Drosophila melanogaster: one gene and its partner. The protein of the gene in region 2 interacts with the protein of the main gene of each other region in a pairwise test. Each region holds a gene or a part of one and is shown on either strand. Other genes may lie near its edges.

Evidence for each region. The genes of interacting proteins can lie anywhere in the genome.
Region 1: the proteins of veil (region 2) and CG5787 interact in a two-hybrid assay, tested with the Drosophila melanogaster proteins (one large-scale study listed by BioGRID).

What each region holds. Positions count from the first base shown.
Region 1 is NT_033779.5:12,708,292-12,714,921, forward strand, and holds CG5787 (uncharacterized protein), read right to left. Parts: upstream 4,662-6,630; 5' UTR 4,564-4,661; intron 4,241-4,563; 5' UTR 4,016-4,240; coding exon 2,071-4,015; intron 1,935-2,070; coding exon 1,084-1,934; intron 1,019-1,083; coding exon 962-1,018; 3' UTR 501-961; downstream 1-500. Other genes in the region: CG6180 (uncharacterized protein), read left to right, coding at 1-253; Pih1D1 (PIH1 domain containing 1), read right to left, coding at 6,196-6,255, 6,358-6,630.
Region 2 is NT_033778.4:17,476,432-17,482,645, forward strand, and holds veil (veil), read left to right. Parts: upstream 1-1,726; 5' UTR 1,727-1,838; exon of another isoform or gene 1,839-1,957; 5' UTR 1,958-2,077; exon of another isoform or gene 2,078-3,385; 5' UTR 3,386-3,392; coding exon 3,393-3,628; exon of another isoform or gene 3,629-3,685; coding exon 3,686-3,836; exon of another isoform or gene 3,837-3,900; coding exon 3,901-4,157; exon of another isoform or gene 4,158-4,219; coding exon 4,220-4,514; exon of another isoform or gene 4,515-4,584; coding exon 4,585-4,882; exon of another isoform or gene 4,883-4,943; coding exon 4,944-5,506; 3' UTR 5,507-5,687; downstream 5,688-6,214. Other genes in the region: CG43110 (uncharacterized protein), read right to left, coding at 5,760-6,133, 6,188-6,214.

The sequences.
Region 1 (6,630 bases), on a different chromosome or scaffold from region 2:
CTCCGCCTACGTGGGATCCGGGCCTCCACCAGACACCGGACTCCATCGTTACGTTTTCCTGATCTACGAGCAGCGGTGCAAGCTCACATTCGACGAGAAGCGACTGCCCAATAACAGCGGAGATGGACGCGGTGGCTTCAAAATCGCCGAGTTCGCCAAGAAGTACGCCCTCGGCAATCCCATTGCCGGTAACCTCTACCAGGCTGAGTACGACGACTATGTGCCCATCCTCTACAAGCAGCTGGGCGCTTAGTTTCTACGCCAAAAACCATGCTTATATAAGCCAGTCTGAATTGGATTCAAATCTATTGTAACCTAGAAATTAAAGACACCTATGAACACTCTGTGAAACCCTCTGTTGCTGGCAATAAAATTGTTAAAGACATATTAACTAAGCCACTGTATCTTATTACACATTTTCAATATTTTCATATCTTATCTTGTTAATTTGTCTGAAGTAATAATTCGGTTACCCTTTGCTGAGGCAAAACAGTTTCTGTGCTGGTTATGTATTTATTATTCATTCCAATTACAATCTACTTCTTTATCAATAGGATTCTTCTAGCGTCATTTGTATACATACAGATTTCATGAACTTGAGTTTATATCTCGCCAAAATACATGCTTTGAAGATACAAGACATAATTGCTATCGGACCTTCCAAATAGGAAGAACGTTTCTGATCAGTATTATAGTTATTTCCCAGGGCGCAAGAGACGCCCATCTGGGTAAGTTATTTATTTGTAAAAGCATTGCGACATAATTACAATCTACTTCTTAAAGTCAAGAGGATGGTTCTTCATGTGTGCAATAATAAAGGTCTCTAATACAACTAGATGCAGACTCATACAATCCATAAAATAATGCTGAAGAAGAACCCACGCTCTATTTCCTCCTTTGATGGGTCCAGTGCATATTCGGCTGTTGAGAAGGAGGGGAGGTGTCTAGTTTCCAAATTACTTTACTCTATAGAGGGAAAGACAGTGCGATGGTCTTTCCATTCGGTTTCGCTGATTGCCTATAAAAAGCAAGGTCGGAGTTAGTTAGTATGAAATAGGCTGCATGACTATGTTACCAACTTACCACTAGCTCGTCGAAAGCCTGTTTGGCCAGCCAGTGGAAGCATGGACTCTTCCATTCGCGCGCAATCGCCTGCTGATCCTTGACGTCGTCCTCGGCGGTGGACTTGGAATTGGTAATGGCCTTGTACTTGGCCCACAGGAAGACCATGCTGCGCAACTTGTAAACCCACAGGTCATTGGGTATGCCGCGAATAATGTCCTGTATTTCCACCATGTTCAACTCCGTAAGGTTATCCAGGAAGGTGCGGTTCATCAACGTAAAGATCGTCTTCATTGTGTCGTACGGCACGTCGGCATTCTTCTCGAGACCAAAGTGTGCCGACTTTATGATAGCGTAAACCACCTGCTCTGTGGTTAGCTTGGGCAGATTGGGTAGGAAGCAATGCTCTAGATTCAAGTTCCCACACTCCAACAGTTGCTGGTCGATCTCCTCGCCAACATTCTTGTAGTCCTTCCACCAGTTGCCCCAATCATTATATTTCTTCGATTCGTTAAGCGGTGCCCAATCGGACCGTATGCGTTTCCTGTTGCGCTTTGCAATCTTGCGAGCCGACTTGGCGTCGTCGGCCACCGATTCGTCTTCCGAATCTTCGTTGAGCACTACGGCCGCCTCTACGAAGTCCTCCTCGGTGGCGTCCTGGTTTGTACTGTAATTGAAGGTTTGTTCGAAGAAGGTCAAGGCATATGAGTCCGCCTCCGGCTGTGGGAGCTTCTTCGGCTGATCGTTGAGATAGGGAATCTTGAATCCGCCAATAAGGAAACCGCGCTTGCGTGCCACGCGTCGCCATTTCTTGACCGACTTGGAGGCAGCCTCCGTTTCCAGCGGTGGAGGTGGGGCAACACGCTTCTGACCTGCAATGCATAACATATTAGGAACTTGTGTATGGTAAAACTATTCCTAGTTGCTTTGCAAAACTCTACTAAATGAATTGGAATAGTTAGAAGAAAGTTTTGTAATGCAACCTTACGAAATAGAACTGAATCTTACTAATTTGGACGGGGAATCCAGGAGCGTTTGGCGGCCTACTGGGCACTCCTGCTGGTTTGCCTCCTTGTGGTCCACCTTTCACTGCCTGCTGGCCAGTTCTAGGTGCCAGTGGTCCCGACTTCTGCAGCTGTGGTCCAGTTTTCAAGCCCTGTTGTCCAGTTCTCAAGCCCTGTGGTCCAGATCTCAATCCCTGTGGTCCAGCTCTTAATCCCTGTGGTCCAGTTCTTAATCCCTGTGGTCCTGTCCTGTTTGCCTGCGGTCCGGTCTTCACGGCTGGTGCGGCCACCGGTGGCTTCTTGTTGGTAACCGAGACCGTTTTCGAATTGGGTGTTACGTTATTGACTTTATACTGATTTGGTGCTGCAACGGGCAGCTTTTTCTGTACTCCAGTCGCATTGCCCGGACGCAGGTTGGCGGTCTTGTTGTTGCGCAGAGTGGGCGCACCTGCGCTTTTGACGATTTCAGCCTTCTGAGGATTGTTGCGCAAGTTCTGGACCGCCTTAGCGGCTGGCTGTGGAGCTGGCTTTCGAACAGATCCGCTGTTGTTCAGATTCATCTTCTGCAGCTGATTGCGCTTCGAGTTGAAGGCGCGCTGACCAGCTTCCCATCCAGAGCCACCGGAACCTACTCCTCCTCCGCCGCCGGCACCGCCTCCTCCACCACCGCCGCTTCTTCCTCCACCTCCGCCACCACCACCACTGTTCGATTGATAGCCAGAGTTCTGGAACGATGATGATTGTGATTTGTTCCAGTTGTTGCGAGAGTCTTGGAAGGTGCGACTAATGTTGTTGCTAAAGCCGCCTCCGGAATTATTGTTGCCAAAGTTACCACCAGAGTTCGGTTTAAAACCTGGGCCTCCGGATCCTCCGACAGCCGGTCCGCGGTTGTTAAAGTTTCCAATATCCCTATTGTTGTCCCCAAAGTTTCCAGAGTTCTGGCCAAAGTTGTTGCTAAAGCCGCCTCCGGAATTATTGCTGCCAAAGTTGCCACCAGAGTTCGGGTTAAAGCCTGGGCCTCCGGATCCTCCGACAGCCGGTCCGCGGTTGTTAAAGTTTCCTATATCCCTATTGTTGTCCCCAAAGTTTCCAGAGTTCTGGCCAAAGTTGCCGTGATTTCCACTGCGTCCGTAGGAATCATTGAAACCGGAACGCTGGTCATCATAGTTAGGACCTCTGTTTGGGAAATTGTCATTGTTGAAGTTGCGTTGATTGTTTCCTCCAAACGAAGGACCACTGTTTCCACCAAAAGGGACATCGCTTCCTCCAAAGGAAGGTCCACTATTGCCCCCATAAGCGGGTCCATTGTTTCCACCAAAAGAGGGAGCATTGTTGCCGCCAAATGGCACTCCATCGTTGGGAACGAAATTACCGAATGATCCCTGATTTCTGGGTTCATCGTTGAAAAACCTATCGCCGCTTCCCTGCGGCTGGGGACCTCGATAGTTGACATCTGGATTGCAGTCCATACGGTTCTCCACCTCCAGCAAGCGGGCTACGTTGCTCTGATTGGATGCTCCCCTGTTCGCTTGGCCGAAATTGGAGGACGGCCCGCCACGAAATTTGTCCTGGAAATTATCGCCGAAACGCTGGTTGCTGCTCGGATTGAAACCGCTCCGATCTCCGTCTCCGGAACGTGGGTAGCTGTTGTTGCCGCCACTGTTGCTGTTGTTGCTGTAGTTGCCACCGCCGCGACTGAAGTTGCCACCATCTGGGCTGGTATTCCGGTTGACGCCGTAGCCTCCGCCACCGAAAGTGCCACCGTAGCCTCCTCTGCCACTGGTATTGCCGCCTCCGCCGAAGTTGGCGCCGCTACCGCCTCCGCCGTAGTTTGAGGAATACATCCCGCCGCCGCCGCCTCCTCCACCACCACCAACGCCGCTGGAGCTCCCCATTCCGCGCCGCTGGCCAATGCCGTAAGCGTCGTTCTTCATTTGGCGGTAGTCCATTCCGAATAGTCCTTGCCCGGATTTACCTTTACGTCGAGCACTCGCCGCTGCTTCCAATTAACTGGCTTCTCTGCGATTTTTTCCAACACAACAAACGCGGCACAAAAAATGCTTTCCTTTCCCCGAATTTTTCACTGTCTGGTGCCAGGGTTGCAAAGCAATGAAAGCCGGCTGCTCAAAATGGTAATAAGTCCGATTCGAAGTTGGTATTTTTATTGAAAAATACTGAGCGTGATAGAAAAATACCGCTATTGAATTAGTTAGGAATACCTTGCAATAAATTATTATTTATTTATATTTTAAGCATTATGTCAAATGTGATTTGTTATAAACAACATTTGACAAATGTATAATTTCGGTTTTGATTCGGTAATATTCTGAAAGCCATCTTCCAAAAAATTTCTTTAGCAAGATATTTATAGAGAAGAAGCTTACTGTATAATTTCTTTTCACTACTATCGTAGTTAATTAAAGAGCTATATTTTATAGTAATATTTACTAATGAATTGGTTGTATTAAGTATTATATTATATTACATACATACTTACACTTTCACTACCAAAGAAAACACACAACCTGAAAATATTGAATCACAAATTCTTTTGAAAAATGTAGAATAAAACATGAGCACGAAAGTCAAACCAGGAAAACCAACAAAAAAAAAAAACATTACAAAAATCTATGAAAGTTAAATATAAGCTAGCTGTTGCCTCGAAACCGCTTTTTAATCTACACTAGTCGGCATAAGTATTTTGACAAAATAAGCGCAGCACATTTGTCAGTGTGTAAGTAATATAAACTTAAAAATTAACAAGCAAAATTTTTTTTATTGAAACTTAAAAAGATATAAACAACTTAATAAAATATGATGTTTTTTTCTTTCGCAGTCAATATATGATATCATTTGAATATATAGAAAATCCAATCAGCCCCTTTTTTTCAGTTTCTAATAAAATTCAAGAATAAAATAAATTGTAAAATTTGCGCCTTTATTAACATTATCACAGCGGGCATTATTCATTTATGTGCCTTTTTAGTTACTGAACACTGGAATGCGAACATGAAGCATCTGAAAAATGGGAAGAAAGAACAGAAATTAAAGATTTGAATCCTCCAAACTTGGTGCACTGCATCACCTTGGTGGTCTTATCGAACAGAGCTTGTGCACGATCCTGCTGCAGACGGTAGTTGACGAATTTGTTGAACACATAGCCATACTTGCGGGTTTCCACCACGATACGATCCTCGCCGACAAGGAGACTGAACTCCTGCGAAGAAACCTGCGGATTGATGTGGTGACATAAATAAACTTCTTTTTCTCTGTGCATCCATAATAATCTTACGTAGTTGGGCAAGTAGATCTCAGCATGGATTTCGTCAACGGACTCGTCACGAACTCGACCACGAAGTTTGTACTGTATATCCAGAAAACCGCCGCCTGCAGACTGTCGACTCTTCCTTATGGCAGCAGCATCCTTCTCGTCGATCTCCTGCACCAGTTTTCCGGAATTTTCCGGTGCCACAGCCCCACCATCCCGGCTGTTAAGAGCAGCAGGAATGCCGGACGTAGACTGGGCCCTTTTCATATCTTCGTTGCGCACACGATGAGTGACCAAAGTGCCGATGAACTTGCGATTGTTCAGAATAATGGTCTTTTCCATGTTGAGCTGCACATTATACTTTTCGCTCATCGCCTCAATCACAATTTGCATAAAGAAGTTCTTGAAGAGCTGCGACTTCTGGATCTTTACCAGAAACTTTGGGTTGATAGCGATGTCGCAGACATCGACGGTCTTATCGGAACGATCCTTCGTGAATCTGGGATCTGAGATGCTCATGGGCACTCGATAGGAGCCAGGAGTAGTGGATTCCAGTATGCCAATCAGTTCCTCCTCGGTGACATCCTGCGGTGCTGGAACTTCCGCTGCCTGGCACACGTTAATGAAGAACTTTTCATCACTGTTTGTCTTGAAGCTTTTCACGCAGATTCCTAATGGGGAAACAGAAAAGAGTTGAGTATTATTAAAATGGCTTGTTATCTGGAAAGTTTCTGGCAGCTAAAAAAAAAAAATAGAAAGTTGAGGCGATTCAATCGTATGGGCCATTGCAAAAGCAAACCCCTTTGTTTTATTTTGGCTTTGATTCCATATACAATCTTATACAATATGCTTCGCATTCAATTATGCTTTCAAGCCGGGATAGATTTTTTTATGATCCGGCCACGCGATCTCGCTGATTGCCTATAAATAAAGATAAGGTTCGTTGTCAGTTGAAGATAGTAGAACTTGGGTTTCCTTAAGGTTTTCAGATACTTTTAGCTTTGGGAAATGTTGTTTTCTCACCTTAAGCTCATCGAAAGCCTGCTTGGCTAACCAGTGAAAGACAGGACTTTTCCATTCTCTCGCTATGGATTGAATTTCCTTATCGCTTTTGAAATTATTAGCTGAATGGGTTTTAAGAGTGCCATGGTACCTTTCCCAAAGGTAGACCATGCTGCGGATCTTGTAGAGCCACAAGTGATTTGGAACGCCACGTATCAAGTCCTGCAACTGTTCCAATTGCTCATCAGACAAACTGTTGAGGAACTTTTCGTTCATCAGTAGGAAAATCGAACG
Region 2 (6,214 bases):
ATCCGTCCTGCACCCCATCCCCCCGGGATCACAGGCGCGCCCTGCTCGTCCTTTCCGACCTTTCAGTTGTTGTTGTCCCGTGTCCGTTTCCTTTCGGTGCGGCATAGCCGATTCCCAAGTTACCTTCCTATGTCCTTTTTTTTAATAGGGTTGCATTGAAGGGTGTGTGCGAAAATAAAGCATTTTAATCAAATTTTCTTTTTTTTACATTTTAAAGCAGACATAAATAAATTATCAATACCTTACAATCTTGGGTAATCAAGTTTTGAGCGTATAAATTTTCATGAATTTTTTTTGAATGTATAAGTTGTCAATTTAATGACGAATTAACTTAATTGCTACAAATAAACGAATCTGGACTTTTAATTCAGTTGATTTCAAATGAGTTTCGATCTGGTTTTAGCGAACAACGACCGATATATGTAATTGCTTAAATTGCTTTTCTTGGCAAAACGTGCACTGCTGACGCACTTAAAGAATAAGTTATTCAGGTTAGACAGTTAAGCTATTTAGGTAATATTTAACGTATCCGTTAAGCATTGTATTCTACCAATAAGCTACCTAAAATTTTGTTTGTGAACTTTGATCACTTGAACTTTGATCACGATGCTTCTTTACGAATATAGATTTTCGTATTTGCATACAAAATTCGTTTAATGTGCATATTTGTAGGAGATTCCCCAGTGCGGTATGCCCGACCATGATAAGCATTTGCAGCTGGCACGCTTCACATTCATCTCTTCGATCGGCACTTCCCCTGCGAGTTAGTTTGACCTGCCACTGCAATGATAAGTGCACACCTAAAAGCACTGCGAGAAATTTTCGAATTTCGTTGTCATGGAAATTGGTATGCGGTATGAGTTAGTTTGAACGAAATCACGTTTACCTCCGTTGGCATGGAGAACCAATTCTTATCGGCTTTATTGCCGATTGTTAACGTAGTAAAGGTGGAGTGGTCCCAAAATGCTAATCGATAATGCTGTCAAAATTTGGAATGAACATAATTCGCTTTATGGTTTATGTCCGCGCATTGTGTAATCATGACCATAATTTAAAATAAAGGGATTTATATTTTGGGTTTGTTGGAAGGGGGAAGGGGGGAGTGCTGAAATATAAGATGACACCATAAATGAAGAATCTCCTGTCCCAAGAAAAAAAAAAAGAAACAATCTCATTGATAGCAATAAATGTTTATTTATGGTCAAGGAAATTGGGCATTATTCGATTTATTTGGGGCTGCGAATTTGACACTATCTCAGCGAATTGTTGTTTCGCAATTTCGGAAGGGGCATTTAAATAATCACGCCCAGACGTCAAGTCTGTGAACTTATGATATGGATGGATTGGATATTTGCATTTAGTATGTCGGCAATGGTGTGTGTACACATTATTTACTTGATAAGCACTTGATGTTGTTAAGGGCGTATCAAAATTGAATCATATATATTATTTTTATCTCATTTTTATCGTACACTTGACATTGTGTAATATTGCGTGCTGGTTTTCCTCTCCCCATTTCAGTTAAACTTGGCCGAAGCATCTTCTATTTATTTTCGAACCAACTCAATTGCTGTTGTATCTTGTATCTTTCGGATATATTTAGGCGACATCTCGAGCAGGAAAGTTGTACCTTTCCCTTTCGTTTTTGAGTTATTTGCCCGAACACAGGCAGCAAATAGTAAATAGCAAATACATTATCCACAGCCGCAGCTGTCGTGTGTCTATTGAGCCATTATACATACTATATGATTGAACAGTTTGAGAAGCACGCGACAAGTGGCAGCGGATAATTTGGGGATGAACTGTGGCCCAAAACCCGGCAATTGTGATCATTTCGTGTGGGTAGAACTTCGCAGTAAACTCATAAAGTAATTTACGCGGCTGTTGAGTGAAATTCATCTTTCCAATATTTATCTATCCTTCCATTTTGGCGGCCATAAATCTGTGCAACAAGCAGGCCTCATTGTTCATCAATCGAATGTGCCTGAAAGTTCGCAGAAGACACTTGCTTGGAATTTTCGGGAAATTAATAACAAAGATCGGCTTACTCGGCACAATCGGCGGACTGTTGTTAATGGTGCGTCAATAAACATGTACAGTAAATACTCTAAATATAGGTAAGCAACCATGTTGCATATAATTTCGTGACAGTGAAAATGTTTTACTATGAAACAAAAGTGCAAATATTAATTACAGATATAGATATTCCAAAAATATCCTTTCGAATGCGTGATCTTTGATTCATGTGTTTAGATCACTTACAAGTAAATGCTGTTTGATGCTAGAGTTACGCCGAATGTAAATTCTCCGTAGCGAGCGTGCACTGTATATATTTTTTAGTACAATCCATATTTCGGCGTGGGAATGTCACGTTGTGTTTAGACAACTGTTGGGCCAACTACCTGCCTCTGTCTGAGTGGCTATGAGTCAGATAAATATATAGCCAATTCACCATTATCTGATCTATAACCGACGATTATCGCGCGATATGTCTGCTTCCGATGGCTTCCAAAACATCGAAATACAATGGGGTAATGCAGAAAGAGCATCGCATTGTCATTCTCAGCCAATTTAACCCGCAATCGCAATACGAGGCCTTATCGTAATCAGTCCGCTTCGCGAGGCAGTAAATTTCGGTTTTGCTGTTTAAGGTACTCGGCTTTATGTTTTCGGCTAATAACGGTTCTCGCACTCTCAGCCAATTTGGTGGGTCAGTCAGTTAGCCCGCGGACCGTGCGACGAGTGCATGTGAGTAGCGATCGTTGGTATTTGGTAATTCGTTGCTTCTGAAGTAACATCGATCGGGCCTTTTTGAGCCGAGTTAGCTTTTAGGCCAATGCCATGAGCAAGCTGAAGTTCGAGCTCGTTTCCGAGTTCAATCGAAAACCAGTTGACCGAGTGAAGTGGACCGCGATGGCAGAAATTTGTCGAGCAGAATGTGCTGGGGATTTGTGTGTTTTTTTTTTGCACACGCAAAGTGATAAGCGGCGATTAGATTTAAAACACCCAATAAACTATAAATTGCGATTTCTGCGCGCTCGTGATTGATAAATATTTGCCTCTCAGCAGTGGATTGGTGATAAGGTCGAAAAGGACCTTCAACAGTCTAAGTAGAAAATCTGGTTAACAACGTTTGAAGTGTTTCCATTACATGTGTAAAACCATTCGGATAAGAAAACGAACTAATACTTAAAACACGCTTCATTAAGTGGCAGTGCATTAATTTTTTATTAAAATTTTTAGATTTTCATGAGTGCAAAAACAATGATTATGACAAACCAGTTGCCGTGCGCGAATCAGTGCTTATTCACCGAAGATTATCCACCCACATTTCATCCCTTCGTGTGTGATAACTTATCAGCGATTGTTGTGTTTATTGTTCCAGCACCAAAATGTTACCTGCCCGTGGTCTCCTTATCGGATCATGCTGCCTACTGGCTCTACTGATTCATCCTGTGCAGCCGAATCCCATTGCACCCCGGGCGGAAGTTGCCGCCGAGTTCATCATTCTGCACAACAATGACATGCACGCCCGATTCGAGCAGACGAGTGTGACCAGTGGCACCTGCTCCAAGGAGGAGGCCAATACGGATCAGTGCTACGGAGGATTCGCCAGGGTGGCATACGAGTAAGTGCGGTCAGTTTGCCTAGAGTTCAACTATTCATGCTGATGAACTTCAACTAGGGTGCGAAAGTATCGCAAGGAGGCGGAGGAGGGTGGAACTCCAGTGTTTTATCTCAATGCAGGTGACACCTATACCGGAACTGCTTGGTTCACCGTCTATAAGGACAAGATCGCCAGTGCTTTCCTCAACAAGCTATCGCCAGATGCTATTGTAACTATTATTTTATTGTTTTCCGCATTCTCTTACTATATTTCATCAATATACCTTTCAATAGTCTCTGGGCAACCATGAGTTTGATCAGAATGTTGAGGGTTTGGTGCCCTTCCTAAATGCCGTGGAATTCCCTGTTTTGGCCTGTAATCTGAACCTCACCGATGTTCCGGAAATGGCGGCTGCCAAGCAGCTGGCCAACTCGACGATCCTCGAGAGAAATGGGGTGAAGGTTGGCGTTATCGGTTACCTTACGCCCGATACCAAGGTGCTTGCCTTTCGGAACAAAGTGGAGTACGAGGAGGAAATCGTGTCCATCAAGTGGGTATAGCTCAAATCCGCTGGAGAGCAAGGATGTTAATGCATGTTCATTTATTCCGCAGTGCGGAGGCCGCAAAGCTAAAGGCTCAAGGCATCAATATCATCATCGCTTTGGGTCACTCTGGATACCAAAAGGATCAGGAGATAGCCATGAACTGCCCGGAGGTGGACATAGTCATTGGTGGCCATTCGCACACATTCTTAGATGCCAATCAGCCGGTGGCCGATCCCACGGACTCTGATCCGGAGGCGGTTCGAGGTCCCTATCCCACCACAGTGGTGCAGGCGAGCGGCAAGAAGGTACCAGTGGTTCAGGCATACGCGTATACCAAGTATCTCGGAAAGATTCATGTTCAGGTAAGCACTATATATTATCTGGATTATTATTAAAGAAATTTGAATATAATTGTAATACGAATATTTCCAGTTTGATGCCGAGGGAAATCTGATCGAGTTTGATGGCGCTCCCATTTTGCTGAATGCCTCTGTAGCTCAGGAGCAGGATCTCCTGGATTTGCTAGACGAATACCGCCCCAAGCTGGACGAGCTGGAGAACACGGTTCTGGGTTACACTAAGGTGTTTCTCGAGGGCGGCAACATCTGCCGCATGAGGGAGTGCAACCTTGGCAACTTGGTGACAGATGCCATGATCTATAGTCGCGTGTTGGAAAACAAGGGCGGCGAATTCTGGACAGATACTGCGATTGCTTTTATGCAGGGAGGAGGTGTGTTTTATTTGGTGTCATTAGAGAAATTCGAAATTACGTGGATCTACATATTTTATAGGAATCCGTGGCTCCGTCGATAAGAAGGATGATGGAGTCATCAATGGCGCCACCCTCTTAGCCGTTCTTCCGTTCGAGAATAATCTGTACGTGACAAGGATTCTCGGAAGCACCCTTCTGGCTGCCCTGGAACACTCCGCGTCTGTGAGGTTGCAGGACTCCAATGGTGGATTCCTGCAGATGTCCGGACTGCGTGTGGTGTACAACTACAACAATGAGCAGGGCAAGCGAGTGGTTTCCGCACAGGCCCTATGCGCCAGCTGCGCCGTGCCCACGTACAAGAGCATCAATGAGACGGCCCTGTACCAAGTGATCGTGCCCCAGTTCCTGCTGGAAGGCGGCGATGGCTACACTCTGATCGAGGAGTCGGATCCCTTCACCGAGAGCATGCAGCGAAACGATCTGAATGCTACCATGGAGTACCTGAAGCAGCGCCATTTCGTGTATCCCGAGATCGAGGAACGAATTGTGATTCACGAGAAGGCTGACACCGGATCGGCGTCTGGTATTGTGGCCTCCATCTCCTTGCTTCTGCTCTCTTCCCTGCTAACTAGATTCATCTAGTGGCACTTTCAGCTTCTCATTTCAGAACCCCAATTCATAAATAAGCTTATTAATGCGATTGCATTTTTTCGACTTAAAGAGTCAAGTGTGATTGGTGATAAGTTTGCCCTTAATTAATATAATATATGCTTGTTTCACACACAAACTTAAACTAAATAGCTAATAAATGTTGTGAGAACTGAAATGATATTGTGTTTAAATTTATTTACTGCTTGTGTAGTTTTCGATTAAATCGCCCGATAATCCAGATACCCTATTCATTCTGATTTACTATTTTCGAGATCCATTCTGCATTTGCCATAGCACTGGTTATTACGTATACGTCATTGTGCGAAACGTCTACCAAGCCCAATAGAACGAAATGGACCATGCCCGAAACATTCAATATTTTTTTAACCAATATATCGCCAGCTGTACCAAATTGCTTAAGCGCATTTGGTTGGAAAGTGTTTTTCACACAAAACTGATTCTGTTCGATATTTCTCCTCAACTCAAGTTCACACAACTGCCAATTAAGGCTTTGCACATTTATAACGTAATTGCTTAAGCCATATTGACCTGTGCCAGTGATTCTTAAAGAACCAGCGATGTTTGCAGTTTCCAGAATGCAGATCGGTCTCAATGCACCTGCAACAGAAAATCACTGTAATGTCTCAGCCTATGTTGTCCAACTAATTTTACCTCTGTTTTCCAACCGACGCGTCAGGC